Drosophila melanogaster: one gene and its partner. The protein of the gene in region 1 interacts with the protein of each later gene in a pairwise test. Each region holds a gene or a part of one and is shown on either strand. Other genes may lie near its edges. The genes, in order: CG13907 and CG13949.

Region 1 (7,116 bases):
CAAACCGAATCGTCTTCAAAAGTACGCTTTCGGTTTCATCTGTATAACAGTTGGCCCGCCAAGCTTCATTGGTTCAAATGAATTTGTTTTCCAGTCTCAAATTGCACTTGATCAGGCCACATACACAATATATATATATGTATGGGCATATATTTGGGGAAAAGAAAGAAAGAAAGATTTCGTAATTGTTTCCGTTCCCTAACCAAACATAAACATCCAATGAATATGGGTCCAACTCGGTTAAGTCACTGGCATTCCGAGAGCCTCCCCCCTTTTCCACAATTCATTTGTTGCTGTTATTGAACGCGCGATTTTATTCAATTTTTTATTAGCTAGCAACAGAAATCGTAGGAACCGGTGGCCGAGACCCGCTCTATGAGTAATTTATGCTTATTGAGCTTCGATTCGATCCGAAAGTCACCAATTGTAAACACGATGTGTGGACGCCTTTTAATTGAGCAAATCAGCAACAAAACCATATTTTCAGATATAAAAGTCGCACCACAAACAAATTATCGGAATCTAAATATAAAGTCATAAAAATAGTTATTAGCCTTATCTAACAGAAGCTTCATATATACATATATGCTTTACCGATTTCAAATATGCTTTCCTTATAATATTTGGTGTACAAAGCAATAGCACCATGTAATTCTATGCCTACAATAATAAGAAGTAATTCATTTTGTTGATTAGTTCTTTTAATCAGTTCCCTGACTCACAAGCAAAACGAAAACAAACCAAAGTGCGTGGCGGCTAAAGTTTATTTTGGAGAACAAAGAATCCAGTATAAAGAATACTGCAGTATATGCTATTATGACACATATAGATAGCAATAAATTGCTTTCTTGTGCTTAAATTATACAAACGCTGCACTTCTTGATATACATGGTTTTATACATTCACCGAATGAATCGAATGTGCGTTTAGTAATGCTCTTTACTTTTACCATATAAAATCTATACATCATTTAACCCATAAATATATTAATGCAATTTCGTTGTTGAAAAATAAATGTATAATATATCTTCTTTTCCCAAAATGCAATAGCATAAAAGAGAAGACGATACTTTTTCATTTTCCAGCCCACGCGTCGTATGCGTAATGTGAGTCACACACATTCGCACGCCTTCATTGCTGATTGAACTGACCCGTATGCAATGAAACGACTGGTCTTCCCATAACGAAGCTTATTCGCTGCCCCATTGAAATTGATAAGTAATCTGCTCAAGCGTTGGATAATTCATGGCGGATACGGAGCAATGTAGAATACAATGAAGAATGAGCACAGTTTCCACCGCCTGGCAACAGGGCCAAAAACGAATTGTTGCAGGCAATTCAATTGAATTCATTTGTGTCAATTTATAATAAATAATACCCTGCGCAAAGAAGACAAGCGGGGAAAAGCTTAGAACAATAAGTGAAATTGAATGCGAACGAAAATTGCATAATTCTGAGAGCCACGCGACCTTCGCCGCAGAAGAAAAACAAACAAACTATAAAGTTTTTGGTGCGGATAACACGGATAGAGGGGTAAGTAAGGGTTCTTCGCCACCTTATCGTCAAGTTATTTACAAGCTGTTGACGGTTTACTGCGAAGTGCCTTTAAAGCATCAACTGATAGGCATCGATGGTGCGGTGACGAGCGACAGAAGTTAACGTGAACTGACAGCCGTGGAATACAAGGACACGCGCTGAAATGTATCCTGGTGCCAACCGCCCCCACACGCCCACATTAACATATAAATGCGAGTAGCAGATTACGAAGGAGCGGAGCTCGGTTCAGTGTAACCCGTACATACAGTAGAACTCTGGGGAGAAGTCCGAGCACTTCACGAGATAAATTTAAACTTAAGTGGAACAAAAAACATGATTTGGAATCGGTAGTTTCGCATAGTCGCAAGTCTTCTGATATGACGATTTCCCACAATTCGGATTGATTATGGGCCAAGTTCGACTGTAGCTGCCAGATAGGCAATGTATCTGACAGATACTGAGGCCAGGCTCATCGGCAAAACGGGTGCCGCATACAAAGCAACGCAACAAGTTGAACAAGCAAAAAACAGCAAGGTAAAACAGTCGAAGCATCAAACTGCGTCATTTTGAAAACACAATATTCTACAAGCTGTATTTTTGTATCCGTCGCCGTGTATCTGTATCTGTATCTGTACCTGAATCGGGGCAATGGCAATGGCAAGGAAAGCGTTGTCAGCGTAAAAAAAAAAAAACGCTTAGCAGCCAAACAAAGCGAGAAAAGCATTGACTACACAACACGGCGTATGCGCAATTTTCATTTTCATTAACAAAGAAGGCATGGGAATTAGCAAGAAAGGGGATGGTGGACATGAAGGGGTGCTCTTAGTGGGGTGCTGCGAAGAGGGTGGGGTGACAATAATTGAAGAGTCATCACTGGTTCATTCAACCTTTCAGCAACGAGGAAATAAAGAACTGAGGAAAGCTCTTGGCCAGCTGGAGAAAAATCTTTTTGTGTTCTTGTCTGTGCAAAGCTCTGTTCCCTCAGCAAAAGATGAATAGTTCAAGGATAGTTTATTCATTGCAAAAAGTGAACATCTGTGACAGTGGGAAAAACAATTTACGCTCATAAAGTGGAAAGAAAAATGTCCCTTTTATCAAACTTGTCACGTTTACTTGAAATATTTTAATTAAAACTCAGTATTAAGTTTAGTCCTATTGTGTTTGATATTACCTTAAGTAGTTTTTCTCAGTGCATTGCCCTATTTCACCCACATTTCACTCGCTTGCGTTTGGTTTTTTGGCACAGAATTCTGTTTTAAATGGGCCAGCTAATTTCCCAAAGACACCTGGTGCAAACGGCCACTAAGCAATCCATCCCGCTCATTTTGGCCCCTGAAACTTTGGATATCGAGTGTCACGGGCAACGTCCTAGTTTTCCAAACGTCCTGAGTGCATTGCATTTTGCGGCACATGCAATTTTAATAAGAGGAATTCTAAACGCACACATTGCGGTATAACAGTTTTGCTGCGATTACCGCTGTTTCGGATTAAATTTCAGTTAGGTTAAGTGTGATTTGTAGGCACACGCAGATTGCTAGCCAAGATTGGAGGCGTTGGCCATTTGAGGCCCCACGTAATGCGTTAATAACAGAGCAGCAAATCGAGTTAGCGAATCGGAACACAAAAAATAACATGAAAGAATCGTGGGAAGAGCCAAAGTGGCGCCCTCTGGCGTTGACCCACAATATCGGAGGGGTTTCATTTTCCTTCCATGTGAGCGTGTGTTTGACATGGAATTTTTATGAATGACATTGACCAACCACCCAAGAAGAAGAAGAACTGCTCACATCCCCCCGAAGGAAAGAGAGAGCCAAAGAGAACGAAAGAATTCTCTTACGACGCCTCACCGCAACAAATACGACGAAAAAGTGCTAACCAAGCCGAAAAACTGTTATAAACAACCAGAAGACAAAAAGCACATTTTTACGATTTTACGACCTGGCAACAGACGAAAAAGTTGATAAACAAAATAACTAGAAATATCTCAAAAGGCCTTCTTATCAGCTGCGTGTCGAATGCATTTTATTATTTAGGCGAGCCAACTGTAAAGATAATGCGCGGATTATACAATGGTCGGCGCCTAAAAGGCGGCAGACAAAAGTAACACTTTCGCCCGAACACGCACTTAGAATGACAGTAGAACTTCCCTAAATGAAACTTACAGTTTGGGAGTTGCACTGTTATTATTAAAAATAATTAAAAATATAAAATATAAATATAAAATATAAAATATAAATATCTACTCTATGGAAGTGATTTGCCTTGATATTTTGAAAAAGCATTTAGCAGTGCATTTGTTACACATTCGCTACAAGAGTAGGAAAAACATCCGTATGTTCAAAATCTTTAAAAGTGTCTTTAAGAAAATGTAATTTCCGTGTAAGATGTCCTGCAAAATTTTGCGTAGCTTCTGAAAAGTAAAAGTTAACCTTTAACCTAAATCGGCAGTAAAGAGCAACAGTTTCTGCGCTCTTTGGTTTAGGAACGTTGTGCAGTATAACAGTTTGAACAATTGCTGTGGCCATGTGGCAAAAGGCGGTTACCGGTTTTTCAGGCTTTACCTTTTCAAATTCAAATCAAAGAAAAGCAAAGATGATAAAAAGAAGGGAGAAAGACAAAAAGACAACCCTTGGGCAAACAAAGAGGGGTTGTTTGTCTTGGCTCTCCCTATCACTGCCACTCTCCCGCTCTCGCGGCTATTTGTTTTTGTTTCAATCAGCTGTTTTTTGGGGACGAGAGAGCGCGAGTGGAGCTTGCGCTCTGTGAGCTTGAACTTCAAATGCAACAAAACGGGCGACAGAGCGAAGGAGAGAGGGCGAGTGTTTTTACAGAAACTTAGAATTTGTCTTTGTATATCGTATAACAGTCGCTATTTGCTGCCGTTACGAGGAATTTTCATTTTCATTTCGCAGCGGACGGCGCAGCAGTTCAGAACAAAACTCGGGGAATTCAAAATCGGAATCGGAGATTGTTATTTTTCGCCAGATTCGCAAAAAGCAAATGAAAATGTCGCCCAAATGCAACTGCAGCTAAAAGTTATCGAGTAGTGTGTGTGTGCCGCCGAGTGTGTGCGTGGTGTGCGCTTTTTATCGATCACACTCCGCTCTTCTTCCTCCTCCTTTCCACCTCACCTCCCCACCCCATACCAACTCAGACACTCTGTCACGCTCTCCAATCGAATTTCAAAGCTGAAAATCGAAAAATTATACAATTGCATTCGCAAATTACGACGTACACACGTACGTACGTACGTACAGCACCCCCAAAAAAGCTGAGGAAATCACAGAAACGCAAAATCAAAGTCAAAGAAAAATCAAAGCAAAGAACCAGCGAAAATCGGGCAAATTTAAGGAAAACAAACATTTTCTAGTGACCTCAGCTGCAGCTGCAAGTGCAAGTTAAAAATACACAAACAAAGCGGAAATAAGCGAAAATAAAGCACAAAAACCGCAAGGAAAATAGTAACGGTTAAGTTGAAACCAGCACAAAATAAAGTCAAACTGTTCAACTGGAGCTAAAATATTAATAAACCAGGCCAAAGGCAGCACTCGTCTAATATTTGCTTAAATACAGGCAGCCCACGCCTTTTATCGCTAGTGAATTTATGAATTTATCAAACTAAACGAAAACAAAAACTCAATAACAATTGACACACACTCACACAAAAGCCAACTGCAGTGGGAGAGCAGCGAAGAGCGAGCTTGCAAAGAGCGAGAGTGAAGAGATAAACTTGGGCTCTCTCCTTCGCATTTGGCATTCACACGCGGGCAGCGACGCCAAGCGGACGTTCCTCCTCCTTCTTCGCCCTTCGCACTTCACACTTTCTAGCCCACTTTTTCAACTCCACCAAAACCGCGTGTGTGCCCGGGAACCCTAACCCTTCGTCCCGCCAACATGGTGGATACAAACAGTTCAAATCCGGGAATCGTGGGTGGAAACTCCGCCTCGTCCGCCAGGCTGAGGAGATTCGAGCGGACGGACAGTGAGCTGGCCTGCGAGGAGGCGGCCAGGCTGACGGCGGAACAGAGTCCGGAGGACGAGGACAATCAGGACAACGACGAGGATGACGACGACGAGGAGAGCGTGTACGGGGAACTGCCGCCTCCGCCGGACGGAGGATACGGCTGGGTCATCTGCTTCGCCAGCTTCATGTGCAACATGATCGTGGACGGTATCGCCTACACGTTCGGCATCTTCCTGGAGGAGTTCGTGGCCTACTTCCACGAGGGCAAGGGTACGGTGGCCTGGGTGGGCAGTCTTCTGTCAGGAGTCTACCTCAGCGCCGGACCTATCGTTTCCGCCCTGGCCAACAAGTACGGATGCCGAGCCGTCTGCATAGCCGGGAGCATAATCGCCTGCATAGCCTTCGTCTTGAGTACGTTCAGTACCAACGTGAGCATGCTGATGGCCACCTATGGCTTCATGGGGGGATTCGGGTTCGGCATGATTTATCTGCCTGCTGTAGTGGCCGTGGGCTATTACTTTGAAACCAAGCGGAGTCTGGCCACAGGAATTGCGGTCTGCGGCTCTGGCTTTGGCACCTTCGCCTTTGCCCCGCTGGCCACCTATCTCCTGGAGGAGTACGGCTGGAAAAACGCCCTGCTCATCTTTGCTGGCCTGATCCTCAACTGCGCCATCTTCGGAGCCATGATGCGGCCACTGACCTACCCGAAAAAGAAGAAGCAGAAGCCCTTGATGCAAAGGATGTACGAGGAGAAGCAGCTGCAGCTGGAAAGGGGTTCCTTTGCGGGCTCCCACTTCATGGTGCAGTTACCGGATGGAACCATCGAGCGGAAACTGAAGATGCCGCTCAATGCGGATCCCGGTGTGCATTCCAGCTTGAATCTGGAGCTGCTGGCCCAACAGGCAGGCGGCGGAGGTCTGCATCCCGTCTCTACCCTGCCCACCATCACGGAGTCCAAAGTGGTGGATGTTCATCGACAGAACGGCGCGCAATCTCCACCAAATGGCGACAGCAATGGCCAGTTATCCGCTCGATCCGCCGCAGGTGCCGTCGGCCGCCGTCCTCACAGGAACTCGGAGTCGGAGAATAGTCCGTACCACTCGCAGGATGCCATGACCCGGAACGCATCGCAGCCCGCCTTCCTGGCCGGAGATCATCAGAGTTTGCCCAAAAACGGATCCGTGCCGGCATTCAACACGCGAGTTAGGAAAACCTCCGCCTCGGAGCGCTTCCAGCCTTCGCTGGCCGCCATCAGGGCCACTTCTCGCGGAGATTTGGAGGCAGGAGCAGGCGGTGACTTCGCCTCCTCGAAGTTGTCGCTTTCACAACGGCAGGGCGGCAGTCAAACTGGAAGCAGCGGCAGGATGGTGCGACCCATGTCCCGCAAGGATATCTTCTACTCGGGATCCGTGACGAACCTGCCGCAATATCAGTCCCAGAAGTCCTTGGCCAACTACAGGAATTCGGTGCTGTCGCTAACCAAGTACGAGAAGAGCATGCAGAGTGTGGCTAAATTGGATCCCTTGGCCGAGGCTGAGAAGCATCGCGAGGAGTATGACCTGTGTCCCTGCCTTGGCATTCCCGATTCCGTGAAGTCCGTGGTTAACACCATGTTG
Region 2 (6,912 bases), on another chromosome or scaffold:
AAGTGGTGGGGCTCGAAGGAGAGGCAGCCCATCATCGCCCTGCACGGCTGGCAGGACAACTGCGGCAGCTTCGACAGGCTGTGCCCCCTGCTACCGGCGGACACCTCCATCCTGGCCATCGATCTGCCCGGGCACGGCAAGTCGTCGCACTATCCGATGGGCATGCAGTACTTCATCTTCTGGGACGGCATATGCCTGATTCGCCGGATAGTCCGCAAGTATAACTGGAAGAACGTCACTCTGCTGGGCCACTCGCTGGGCGGAGCTCTGACCTTCATGTACGCGGCCAGCTTTCCCACGGAGGTGGAGAAGCTGATCAACATCGATATCGCGGGTCCCACGGTGCGCGGCACCCAACGGATGGCGGAGGGCACTGGCAGGGCGCTGGACAAGTTCCTGGACTACGAAACCCTGCCGGAGAGCAAGCAGCCCTGCTACTCGTACGACGAGATGATCAAACTGGTGCTGGACGCGTACGATGGGTCCGTGGATGAGCCTTCGGTTCGTGTGCTCATGAACAGGGGAATGAGGCACAATCCGAGCAAGAATGGCTACCTCTTTGCCAGGGATCTGAGGCTAAAAGTAAGCCTGCTGGGCATGTTCACCGCCGAGCAGACGTTGGCCTACGCACGCCAGATTCGCTGTCGCGTGCTCAACATTCGGGGTATTCCCGGCATGAAGTTCGAGACGCCACAGGTGTATGCGGATGTGATTGCCACGCTGCGGGAGAATGCCGCGAAGGTGGTCTACGTTGAGGTGCCCGGCACCCATCATCTGCACCTGGTCACCCCGGATCGAGTGGCGCCCCACATTATTCGATTCCTGAAGGAGGCGTAAGATTCCATTACTTAAGTAGACGGCTAGATAGAGAGTACTGTGTGTGTATATAGTTAGTGTATTTCATCCCACTTGTGATGTACAGTGATCAAAGGTATGTGCCCGATTTGCACGGCTCTAAATGTTATAACAGATAATAAACACAAATTTATGACTAAACAAGGTAAAGTCTTTTCGTCACAGCTTTGCTACTTGGACTTTGTGCGGCGAGTTAGCTGTTTAGCAAAATATCTTCAAAGTAAATCTTTTAATAGCTACTATTCTCTTTTTAGCAAGTCACAGTTAAAAACACTTTTATTGGAGTGCTAAGCGAGTTTCGTGGTGAAAGCCCTTAATATTTAATTACCCTTATCTGATTGAGACGCAGACCTTTTCTCGACCTTTGAACCAAAGTATTGAAGGTCTCAAAAGATATCTAATGCTATAATCATCGCCTTTAGTCATCAAATTAGACAAAAAGAAACTTTAGGTAGTCGCGCCTAAAGTCGTAATTTGATTAAACAGAGATTAAAACCTGAAGGTGTAAAAACCGAAAAAGGTTCCACCTAGAAAATAAACTTGCGTCTCCTAGATAATGCTGACGTACATACATACATATATCTTCTATGAACAATAGAGCTATATAAAGTGAATATATATCAACTCTACGATAACTCAAATGAAAATTAATTTCGAATAGCAAGACAGTTGACAAAATTGGTTTATTCGAAAATATAATAAATCATGGGGAGATAAACTATCGCATTTTCCTATGTAATTACTTTCGCATTTATTGACTATTCAGATAAAGCTGAAATCTTTACAACCAACTGATATCGAAATAAAGGGTTCTCATTAACACTATGAAAATTGTTATGTTTGGTATGCTTTTTATTTTAGCATGTATCAAATATCTCCTTTCTCTTGTAATTTAAATTTGAAACCAATAAAATTTTTTTGGAGTGTAAAATAGTATTTTTAAATTCCATGTAAAATATCGTTGGCACTTAAGGGTTCATGCTACCGCTATATTTATCTATCTACGTGGCAACTCCATTCGTCTCCAAAAGTTTCCCCACGGCTGGCAACGCCTCGTAACGGTTGCCAAACAAATTACCGTTGCATGGCAACTCGTTTGTTTGGGCTTTTGTTTACAAATTTACAAAATCCGTTTGCAAGGACGCACAATGGACCTCATCAAGGAGATCAACGACAAATACATGGCCCTCGAGGCGGAGATCGACCAGAAACTGGAGAAAGTGTAGGTTGGTCATGGCACTGTGCAAGGATGATGTTACATACATATATTGGACTACATCTCTAGGCAAGCCGAGGAACTAAAACTGGAACGGCAGAACGAGCAGCTGGCCGAGTCTTCAATCTGTGCACCTGCTCCCAAGGTTCTGTCCTACGAAGAGGCTCTCCTGCGAAACACCAACACCTTGAAGGTAAGCCATCTCTTGGGATATCAGAGGTTCATAAGGTTGTTCCCATTCCCATTGCAGGCTCTGGAAATAGCCAAGGCCCGTTTGAGATCGCGTTCCACGTACTCTCCCGTGGAGAAACTCCTTCAACAGGCCCTGCAGAACTACCGACGGGAGCTGGAGAGTCTGCAGGACGCAGAGGATAGGGGCAAGGATCCGAAGAACCCAGACAACCAGGAGGAGGAGGGGGAGGAGGAAAATCTCTATGATCTGGTCATGCAGAATGTGATGGAGGCCAAGAGGCAACAGACCGATCTATAAGACATGTATTTCCCTGGAACTCGAGCAATTCGTGTGGCCACATTTGATCCAGTTGTATATATTGTTCACAAGTGAGACACTGCCAAGCTGAATAAACAAGCCGCAAGTGTACACATTTGCTGGAAATTGAATCGAGAAAGGTAGAATGCGAATGGGAATGCCAAGTGAAATGGGGTGTATGCTCACACATTCTGTTCCCACTTCAAACAATGATCGAAATGGAGCAAACAACGGTTGACGAAATGCAGCCGCAGCGGGCCACCTTGTTGCCATCCCAATCATCTAAGTGCCCCATCGACGACGATGTTCCCACCCTCGACGTTATCACCGCTGGAAGTATTGTGTATCTGCCAAGGCGAGAAGATATCTCCTGCAGTCAGGCAGGCAACATTAGAGCAAACACATTTACCTAATTAGTTGGCCATCTAACCACTTGGACATCGCCAAATCTGAGTGGAGCACGCCGAAAGGAAGCCCAGGCAATCAACTTGGTAATAAATCAATTAATGACACTCCGTCTCGTGCGAACATCAAAGAAAATTATGACTCTCTTGGCATGTTCGCCTTGTCTTCTGATAAAGTCGCCGGCGATAGCGCGGGTGGGTCGAAGGTGTCACTTGTCAGCGGTACAGCCGGGGTCATAGAGATATAAGCGATACTTATAACAGGGATTGTACCATAATCAGCCAAAAACTGTAATGGTGGGATCAACGAGTTTCTTTCTCTTCTAGGCATTAGATCAAATGGTGATCTTGGGCAGCCTATTACCTTACTACATTTCACCACTATCGTAGTGACCTGAGCTGTGAGCTGGCCTGAATGGATGCACCCGACCGGGGGTCGCAGGCAAAGGGAGCGGGCGAGAGCCCTCACCTGTGCGCACCACTACCTGTTCTGATAAGGCCAGCTATTGAGACAAATTGTGGGGCGACAGCTCCGTTTCCACTGGCATTTCCATTTCTATTTCATTTTCTTCTCAGCCCTTCGGCTACGTTGACAGCGGCGTTTAATGGCCAATACAAAGACAGCACGCACGCTCGGATGTGAGTGCTATCTCGGAATATCACCCACTTTCTGCTCCAGTTCAATATTTCATATTTATTTGCTTTCCGTTTCTGTTTTTCGGCTCTCCCGCTCCCGCTCCCACTCCTCTGCTGCTCGTTGCCGAGCTCCTGGCATTCGCACCTGTACAGGTGAGATATGGGCAACCGATCGACGATACTGGGTGTACTTCGTGGGGCCCCGATTCTTGGTCGGGAGCTGGTGTTTTAAACTTCACCGTCAAATCCGACGTTTCAGTTACGTTCCGAGTCGCGACAAGTGCATATTGTGCCGCCCGATCCAACCGATCGGCGGCTAGATATGGAGCACCCAGTGTGGAGGTGGCGGTGCCTACGTGTAGCTACTCCGACATGGAGCCATCCGAAACCCCTTCCGGGCAGCGAATTACTTGGGCCAAGGGAATGCAAACTGTGATCATCCCGAAAGTTTGTTCGTTTGGCTTAAGTTATTTTCATGTCCGACTAAAGCGCCACGTGGTGGAGATCGGATATACAAGGTGGATATGGTGGCCACCTCCCAAGGAAGTTGTCTTTCGGTCTGCTAACAGCTCGAGTGAACTAATGAGTTGGCCACGCTTGGTGATCCCAACTGGGTACGTCAGCAGGTGAGGATCGGGGGTGGGTCTGAACCCCATGAGCAGCGCCTCCTCGAAGGCCCATCGATCTGGAATGATTAGCCTGGCACTGATACCGAGAAGCGACGTGATTCGCTCCGCTCCCAAATAGCAGACGCCGGCTGATTAAATCCGCCGCCATACTCGGCTTCCGTTTGGGTTTCGGAGTCCGACTCCGACTCCGACTCCGAATCCGAATCCGAGTGGAGAACTGCTCTTCGGCTGGGGCTGGGGCTGGGAATCGGATACTCCACTTGGTGCGCTGGCACGGTCGCTCGGGGCCGTAAACCCATTATCACTATATTGGTTGTACGATTTGCGGATCCGTCGCCAGTTGGCCGACTGTAAAATCTGATTTCTGTAGACGTGTCGTCGCTTTGCCCCAACCGATTCGATACGGCTGGGGAAACTGACTTGGGAACGAGATAAGAGCTCTGGGAACTCTGGGAGCACCGAAAGAAAAACATACACAGTGTGCTGATCATTTCGAGGAATTATCTTACCACCCAGAAACTTATTTGATATGTCGATGATTATACGAGCTGATGATTGAAGATATATGAAGTAGGTATATTGAAGGTATCTTTTTTATCTATTTTCTTCCAGTGCAGTGGGGTGGCAAAGGGCTTTGTGGGTAGGGCAAACGTGGCACTCTCTCTATAAGGTAAAAAGGTAGCCGAAGCCAAACTGATAATTGTGCAACGTACACAAACCTTGCTCGCATTGCTCCACTTGCTTTCGGTTTATCAGTTGGAGTGACAAGCGGAAATTAAAGTTGAAATCGACACGATTATTTCATTAGTTCTGTTTGCGAAGGGCCGAACAAGTGGGCGGAGTGATCCGAAAGGTCGGATCCGAAAGGCAGGAGCTGGCAAGGTCACCCGGATGTTTATATTCGGCAGTCTAGTTGCCGATTGACGGATTGATTGTCAGTGGCCATAACTAACCAATTAGCGATTGCCATTCGTAGCAGGCAAAGCCAGGCACATCTTCGGATGGTTGGGTCGGGTGGGTCACCAGCTGGCCCGGGTGCTCCAAGGTGAAACGCAGCCAGAAATAAGTGCGCCCAGCCAAGTCGAGTTAAGCTGAAGACTTGGACCCAATTCGATCAGGTGCAAGCGACAGAAACAGCGAAGATGGCATAGACAAACAGAGGCCACGTTTTCGTTGGGGGAGTACAGTGAAGCCTCCAAGCAGGACCCCTCCTTTCGAAGAGATCTTAGATCTTAGATCTTGATCTTAGAAATAGTTCGATTAAGGCTAATAGAAATCAAAGCTCTGGCTGAGATCTGGGATCGGATGGATGGACTGGTCGCCTTTAAGGACCTTCCACTGTTCGAGGGCACGAGTGGAGCCCTGGGAAGATGTCATTGGTTTGGACGTGGACGAAAGCGAAAGGTGTAGACGGAGACAGAACTTCAGCGAATATGCCAAGGTACGTCAGGAGAAATGAATTACCCGGACTGGAGTCGTAGCTAGTTGGAAGGGGGATGTCTCGAGGAGGGGCTGGCAAAGTGCTCCAGCCCCCAAGTCGCACTTTACTGCAAATGCAAAAACTTTAGACAGGGAATCAATTGTTGTTACCTTGTTTTATTTCGCCCAAGACACGCAACAACAATGGAACCGTCAAAAGGGGAGAGGCCAAGATGGAGAACACGGCTAGAAGACATTCTAGTAATAGTGGTTACTAGGAGTACTAAAATGTAGCAGTAAGATATAAAAAGGATATGAGCCACCATCAAGGAGTGCCTATTCCTCCAACTAGCACTTATACTTTCTTAATATGAATTTAAGATGACAATTACAACATATTCCTTGTATTTTTATAACTAGTAGCTTGCAAAGTTATTCGGGCAATTAATTTTATGATCGGAAATTCATTATGCGATAAGCAGTTTTTCGAGTTAGGATCATAAATGTTTTATCTTCGAAAAAGTATTACAACGCTTCCGGGTTTCCCAAGTTATGTGGTGCAACAATACTGAATATTCAATATTTAAGCAAAAATAAGGATAATAACTTATCTTTGGCTAGTTTTTCTCCCAGTGTCGCTGGTAACTAGCAACAAATGGGCAGTCGGCAGTTGGGGGCGTGACAGCAACCGTGAAAAGAACTCGAGGATGACAGTTATGGGTTACAAAGGCAAGGATTGAATCAAATAAATAAACGCGCAAGGTTCTCGTCATGGAGCGCGGCTCACTGGGTCGGTTATTAGGTGGCCAGGGGGACAGGGAGCCACCACCGAGTGGATTTATATGGGATTCGATTGAACGGGTTGAGCTCCGACCGGGGTGGGTTCGGGCATGGGCCTGGGGGTAACCTTACCACGTCCACATCCACGTCCATGTCAAGTTTGCATGCGGCTGCAGGTAATTCCCCATTTCACCCGCCTTTACATAATCACAACAAATGAACGAGGAAAGGCGACGGATGGCGAATCTATTAGCATAAGGGCGCATAAAACGGCGCCGGATCCGGCTGGATTCCATCGAGGATTCGCACTCGTCGACTCAGTTGCAGTGGAGCCGTGGAGCCGCGATGAACGTTTGGAAAGCAAAGGTCCTAACGGAGGTCCCATTCGGACACGTCCTCATCGTCAGTGGGCGCGTCAAGCCTCATCCGAATAAGTAATCATCTTTCATAGTTTGGATACCCGGTTCTCCACTAAAAGAATAC

What was found.
Region 2: the proteins of CG13907 (region 1) and CG13949 interact in a two-hybrid assay, tested with the Drosophila melanogaster proteins (one large-scale study listed by BioGRID).

The regions. Positions count from the first base shown.
Region 1 is NT_037436.4:879,218-886,333, reverse strand, and holds the start of CG13907 (uncharacterized protein), read left to right. Parts: upstream 1-4,320; 5' UTR 4,321-5,430; coding exon 5,431-7,116.
Region 2 is NT_033779.5:853,547-860,458, forward strand, and holds CG13949 (uncharacterized protein), read left to right. Parts: upstream 1-1,924; 5' UTR 1,925-2,003; coding exon 2,004-2,077; intron 2,078-2,140; coding exon 2,141-2,264; intron 2,265-2,321; coding exon 2,322-2,561; 3' UTR 2,562-3,093; downstream 3,094-6,912. Other genes in the region: kraken, read left to right, coding at 1-837; CG13950 (uncharacterized protein), read left to right, coding at 6,775-6,863.